2 separate regions of the Mus musculus genome follow, and region 1 is reported to be linked to region 2. The links are microRNA targets in miRTarBase. Many come from high-throughput screens and were not tested one by one. Region 2 holds a microRNA gene; the other region holds the end of a gene's coding sequence.
Evidence for each region. Region 2 holds the annotated microRNA mmu-miR-7213-3p (UACCUCAAGAGAGCCAGUCU, at 2,154-2,173, opposite strand). A microRNA usually pairs through its seed, bases 2 to 8, with sites in the 3' UTR of a target mRNA and lowers its output. Matches are read on the target gene's strand: a 7mer-m8 pairs with bases 2 to 8, a 7mer-A1 pairs with bases 2 to 7 and ends in A, and an 8mer does both.

Region 1: the mRNA of Tmem151b is a reported target of mmu-miR-7213-3p. Seed matches in the 3' UTR shown: 7mer-m8 at 1,181-1,187 and 8mer at 428-435.

What each region holds. Positions count from the first base shown.
Region 1 is chr17:45,541,859-45,545,253 of GRCm38, forward strand. Tmem151b (transmembrane protein 151B) reads right to left here. Exons shown (of 3, transcript NM_001013749.2): 3 at 82-3,395. The coding sequence ends at 2,969. Tcte1 (t-complex-associated testis expressed 1) reads left to right here. Exons shown (of 5, transcript NM_013688.2): 5 at 1-821. Among named protein-coding and RNA genes, the nearest start is that of Tmem151b, 6.1 kb to the right of the region's middle.
Region 2 is chr15:79,996,817-80,000,211 of GRCm38, forward strand. It overlaps Mir7213 (microRNA 7213), which reads right to left and starts at 2,210; the gene lies at 2,154-2,210. It overlaps Pdgfb (platelet derived growth factor, B polypeptide), which reads right to left. Exons shown (of 7, transcript NM_011057.4): 6 at 740-888; 7 at 1-441. The coding sequence ends at 764.

The sequences.
Region 1 (3,395 bases), not on the chromosome of region 2:
CTTGTACAGATCGCGCCCTCACTAACCCTCAAACCGGGAATGGGGGGGGCGGGGGGCAGAAGGATGGGGAACAAGTGTCACTGAGGGAGCAGACCAGTGAGTCATCCACACTTTTATTATCCATCAGTGTGATTTGTACAATCTTTGCGCTTGGAATTCCATGACAGAAAGGCCACAGTGTGATGCACCCAATTTGACAGAGGCCTGTCTTCTCCCGAGCCAGGCCTAGCCCACCCCACAAGCCCTTATCCTCAGGACATACAGTCTTCCAGGTACCCTCTCCTTGAGTCCCTGGCACGCTGTGACTGCCCACCATGGGGCCACACCCATAGGAATCACAGACTATGGATTCATGAGAGGATCTTGGCTGACTAATTCAAACTCTTATCTCCCAACTCTCCTCGGGCTGAGTGACCCAGTGCCCGTCTACCTCAAAGATGGGCGACTGCAGCTGCAATCCAAGAGGGCCTGCACTCCAGGGACTCTTTGCAAGAAGCAGGCGCTGAGTAGAGCACCAGAGGGGGCTTGGGAGTGACTGTGTGTGTGCCTGTCGGGGGCAGCCTAGAGTCCTCTGTGCCTGACACCCTCTGACAGTTCCAGAGTGCAAACATGTAGGTGTGAGGGTGTGTGTGTGTGTGTGTGTATCTGTATCTCTCTCTGTGTTTGTGTGTGTGTGTGTGTGTGTGTGTGTGTGTAGCCACAGCTGCTAGCAGAGGTTCTAATTAGAGAAACAAGAACATTCAGTGTAAAGTTTAATTTTAGAGATTAATTAATTTTCTGGTTTTCATTTTCCCTGGCAATCAATAAAGCTACCAAGAAAAGAAACCAAAGAATTGCTTTCTCTCTAAGTCTGTGCGTGTGTGTGTGGGAGGTGAGGCTGTCTGTGCAAGGAGACCTAGGCAGAAATGGTCAGGCAAAAATAATAACGGGGCTTCCCCACCCCCTCCTCTCCCAAGGCCAAGCTCAGTTTCTGGACCCAGAATGAAAGAGGATGAGCCAAGTCCTTCCCTCCTTGGAGCTGTAAGATGGCCAAGCTGCCCCTAAATGAGAACAAGACATTCAGGTACCAGTTGGCCAAGAACTGAGGCCTGAGGCCACAGCTCACTCAGTACCTGTGCTCCAATAGTCAACACCACACACACACACACACACACACACACACACACACACACACACACACACCTCAAATTCAGGGTCCTGGAGGGTTCTGTGCTAAGTGGCCAGAGGACACTGTTGCCCAGGAAACCCAGTGGTGTGCTTGCTCCCTTCTGCCCAAACCTATCCTTCTCTGACACCCCTCCCTCCTCACCCAAGCATCTCTGTATAACCAGAAAGCTCAGCCCCCATTTGAGCCCTAGACCATGGCATCCCCACAACAGGGCTTCCCACATTCCCCAGGGAAAAAGGGGACAGGGAGCCAGAGGAGATTTTTGCATAGGTAGGGGCCACTCCCATTGGTTGGCATAGGCCTGGCACAGCCAGGAGGAAGAGGGAAAGCCAAAAAGATGGAGTTCTGCTGGTGAAGGCAAAGCAAGAAGCAGAGGGAGCAAGATTGGATGGATGTGAGCCCAATCCCTGGGTACTAAGTCTGCTGGGAAAACGTCAGCCAGGGCAGCTGGGAGAGCAAGGGGCCAAACACAGACATGCACACTGGGGTGGAGGGGTAAGAGGGTATAGGGGAGAGCAAAGTTGGTGTCAGAGCTTTGAAGGGACAGGACAAAGGGCTGGTGCCCCGGGGCTGTGTCATGGAGCCCCTCTGAAGACCTAGAGCTTCAACTCGCTGGACAGGAAGAAGTGGAGGGTCTGGTGAGAACGGATCTCCTGCCACTGGAAATGGGTATCTCTCTAGCTAGGGTTTGGGATGGACTCGGCTCTATGGAGGCATGTGTGAGGGACATCCTTCTTAAGTGTTTGCTCCACTGCCTGCTGAGGAAAAGCTACAGCACGCCAGCCCATCGCCATCCCTCCAGGGCTAGTCTCAGTCTACCAGCCATTACTAACTCTACTCCTGAGGTCTCTCGACATCGGGGTGTGTCTCAGGCTCTGTCCACTTGCTCACTCACTCACCCCTGGCGGGCTTTAATGAGGACCTCCAGGATGGCCTCCCTGACGGAAGCACCTACCCAGAACCTAGGGGAGGAAGCAGCTGATGGACCGGAGACTGAGTCTTTTCCAGAAAAGGCCTGCGGAGCCCTCCCAGCCTCCCTTCCCTTGCCCTGCACCCTGACAACAGCTCTTCAGAGCCGGTAAGCCCCGAGGTGAGTGACGTCATTGGTGTGAGGAAAAGTCCCTCCAGGACCGGACCTCTGGGGCTCAAGTGAAACAAACAACAGTGCTGAGTGTGGCTTTCCCAGCGGCGGCGGGAGGCAGCGCCGAGAGGCCAGAACTCTTTCAAGGTATGGAGATGAATACTGGGCTGCCATCTGGCCCCACCCTCAGACCCGGGAACACAGTTGCTGGCTGGAAGCCAACTCTGCTGCTCTTCACCAAACCACCGCCCATCTCCACGGGGAGCCAGGGCAAAAAAAAAAAAAAAAAAAAGCCCCAAGTGCTTTGCCTTTCTTGGTACCCACCATGATGGCTCCCTTGGTTGGGAGGCCAGAAACGGGTCCCACAACATACTAACAGTCAAGACTCGATGAAAGCCTGGAAGGGAAATCTCGAGTGTGCATGGGAAAGGGGGTGTACCCCCCTGCTGGAACTCGGTGAGGACTGGGAGAGAAACACCTCTGCCCAGGTGGATGGGATTCTTAAGAGAGCTGCCAATCTCCCAGCCTCTGTCTGTGTACAGGGAAGCAGTCTCAGATCACTGAGGTCTTGTCTGAGAGTGCCCCTCACCTCCTGCCTTCCCTCATACCCTGCCTGGCCTTAGCCACCATCCTGCCTTCCCCTGCTACACACAGGGAGCACAACACAAGGAGAGGCAGGAAGGAGAACGGCGGCGCAGGCTCCCTCCAAAGGCAGGAGGTCACAGTGAGGTCTCCACGCAGGAGCCATGGCGGTGCAGTGACCGGTGGCTGTGGCCCAGACACCCCTCCTGCCGATGGACGATGAGGACAGGGAAGCAGAGGGCGTCCTGGTAGGGCGGCGGTGGCCCGGCCTCCTCCTCGTCCTCGTCCTCCTCGTTGTCCCGCATGCTGGCCTGGCTCGACAGACGCGTCTGCTCCGTGGGGCAGCTCGCCTCGTTGACACTCCCGCTCCGGCTGCGCCACAGGCAGCTGCGCCGGGAGCCGTAGAGGCGGCTGAGCGAGAAGCGGCTGCCCCCACACCCCGCGCTCGCTCCAGGGCCCTGGGCAGCCCGCGGGCTGGCGCAGATACTCAGCGCGCTGCGCGAGAAGATGGACGAGCTGCTGACCGCTCGCTGACAGTGCTCGCAGCTCCGCCAGTGCGGGGTC
Region 2 (3,395 bases):
TGCGTGGCAGATCTGGGTGCCATCAGAGTTCCTCCAGTCTGTGCTCCCTGCCACAGGACTGCAAGGGACCCTAGCCTGCCTGAACATGTTCCCTGCTGGCTGGCCAGTGGTCCAGGAACCAGGCAGGACATGCAGAGGTCCTCGGGCTAAGTGCCAGGCTCTGGGGCCAGTCCACAGTCCACGTCCCCCGGCAAGGCTCCTGCACACTTGTTCCAGGTTCTTGGAGTCAAGAGAAGCCTGCAGCCTGGAGTGGAGTCCTTTGCATCTGGAGCTGCAGGGCGGGCTGAGGAATCGCTGCTGGTGGAGGTGGCCGGGCACACGGGGTGAGGGAAGCACCATTGGCCGTCCGAATCAGGCATCGAGACAGACGGACGAGGGGAACAACATTATCACTCCAAGGACCCCATGGGGGCAATACAGCAAATACCATATTAAATAACCCTGTGGGCAGAGAAGGATACAGCGTCAGAGGTAGCTCAAGGGTCCCCGTGGCCCCCATACCAAGGCAAGGGGCTAGGGCTCCTGCCACCATGCTGATTTCCAGCAGGTCCCAAGTCTGAGACGGAGGAGCTATGGGAAATTTGAGTGAGACAGGCACCCTGTTTCAGAGAGGTTGAGGCTCAGCTAGGCAGGAGCAAATGCCTCTGCTGGTTCTCACGGAGCCTGTCTAAGTCACAGCCAGGGAGTAGCTGAAAGCCAGGGAGTAGCTGAGGCTTGTTTTTTCTGGTTGGCTCCTCACCTGCCCACACTCTTGCCGACGCCCCTAGGCTCCGAGGGTCTCCTTCAGGGCCGCCTTGTCATGGGTGTGCTTAAACTTTCGGTGCTTGCCTTTGGGGGGCCGGCGGATTCTCACCGTCCGAATGGTCACCCGAGCTTGAGGCGTCTTGGCTGCTCGAGAAGAAGAAGAAGTAGTGTTTGTCAGCATCTGATAGCAATGGAGTGTTTTCCTTGTACCTTGGTGCCTGCTGGGAGGGAGCCTTGGGTATGGCTGAGGGAGAGGACAGACTTCACCAGGTCAAAGTTAATCCCCACAGCTCTCCAGCTCTGGGGACGTGACTGAGTCTTTCTATGCCTTCCCCTCTCTCTGGGAGTGAAGCAGGTGGACAGCCCACCTCATGGGAAGGAGAACGGATTACAAGGCAGCATGCCGGCCAAGCAGTGCCGGACCCAGGAAACTCTGTTTTGTGCCTGCCCCCTGCCCCCAAGTCCTCATCTCTACTCAGAGATGGATTTTCCCACTCCCTGAAGGTGGCCTGGCCCTGGATCCCTCTACCCAACAGGAAGTCCTATTGGCTCTGGGTACCCACCCATCTTCAGAGGACTGGCCCAGCTCTCCTTTGTGCTTCAAGCACCGTGTCTCACTACATGCCTGGAGAGGTCATGTGGGGACTGGGGCTCTTGAACCACAGTGTAGCTGCTGCCTCCAGCCACAGCCAGACGGCAGAAAAAATCTAGTCAGCTCTCCAAGGAGCCTCATTCTTGCACAGAACTGCAGGGTGAATGTCAGCCACAATACACCGTGAGTGGTGGCCTGTCACCCTGTGACCCTCTGCCTCCCATCTCTCCTACTGAGACCTATACCGCCAACCTCTGGCTCCTCTGGCCACAAGATGAGGAGGCCACCAGACTTTCTTTGGAGCTGTGCCTGTTGTTCAAATTCCTGGGCACTCAGAGAAGCAGAATGGAGGGCTGGGCTGGCAACTTAGTCAAGGAGTCAGCCCAGGTCCAAACCTGGGCTCTTCTTGATACTGTGTGCCATGGGGCAAGGCACTTAACCACTCTGAAAATCAGCAGTGACCTCCTACAGTTGAGACAGCGCATAAAGCAAGCAGGAACCCCAGTGAGCACCTGCAATGTCCCTGGCGCCACTACACACTCCTTTATTTCCATGGTTGGTCTTATTCATCCTACAGTGTTGGGGGAAACTGAGGCAGAGAGCTGTGTTTGAAATCCTGCAATCTATCTGTGCTTCATGCTGCCAGCACCTGGCTGAACTGACAGTTCCTGGGAATCCTGGACCAGACCGACTCTAACTGCTCTTCCTCCTGGGTTCTGAGAAGCCAGGTCAGACAGGCAGGGGACAGCACTTCCTGGGAGACACTGGAGAGTCCCTGGCCTCCAGCCGGTGAGGTTGGTACCTGTCTGTTCATCTCAGACTGGCTCTCTTGAGGTAGCCCCCCTTCCTTTCAGGCTACCTCAAGAGACCCAGTCTGAGATGAACGAAGTTTTCCTTGCAGGGTAGAGATCTGGGGGAGCTGAGATTCTCGGGGGGGGGGGGGGAATGACACCCAGAGGGGGCATGGAAACCACCCCCCAGAGAGCTTTTGCCCCAAAAGGCATGTGCAGGAGGCTGGGCTGCGCTAAGCCTGATCCAATTCACACAACTCACAAATGACACAGATTTGAGCCTAAGAATTCCAAAACACCAGCACTGGCCTAGGCTCTACTAGAGATGAACCTGGAGGCCAGTCCCGCAATATTCTTAACTTTCCGGTTCTAACACTTAAAGAGTTCTTCCTGCGTGGGGGCTGGAGAGGTGGCTCAGAAGGTGAAGAGCATTGGCTGCTCTTCCAGAGGACCCAAGTTCAATTCCCAGCACCCACAGGGCAGCTCCCAGTTGTCTACAACTCCAAGAGCTGACACCCTCACACAGACATACATGCAGGCAAAACACCAATGCACAGAAAATAAAAATAAATAAGTTAGCCAGACTGCCAGGCTGAGGTTGGACTATGTGACCGGAAATCTGAGCATCTTTAGACTTCGGGTACTTCCGCTACACAGAGAAAGGAGCCTCTGAGATGTTTCCAACTCAAACCGAACTGCCTGACCCTTGCAGAATCAGACATGCACTCCTCTGGTGGATGCGTGAACGTCAGACCCACTCTCCACATCCCAGCTGTATGGATGCTCAGCCTTTACTTGTGTATCTCCAGGAGATGTTGTGAGTGAAGGGGGCTGGTTGGTAGTGAGGCCAGGCGCTGCAACCTCATTTAGGGCCAAGAAGAATCTAGATTGTTCTCAGTGAGATCAAAAGTCTCAAATAAATTTAACCAGAAATAATGTATTTGCTCTCCATTTAAGTCTTTTCTGTGTGGTATATGTTTAGATCTCTCTCTCTCTCTCTCTCTCTCTCTCTCAGTGTGTATGTGCGTGTGTGTGCATGTGTGTATGAAGTCAGAGGTTGACATCAAGTCTTCCTATATTGTTTTCTGAGACAGGGACTCTTACTTAACCCGGAGCTAACCAACAGCTAGACTGGTCCCCTGGGATTCACCCATCTCCACCTTCTCAGTACCAGGGTGACAGGCACAGCTATCATGCCTTGGTTTTTATATGGATGCTGGTGTTTCAGACTCAGGTCTGCATGCGTGCTCAGCAAACACTCTACCCAC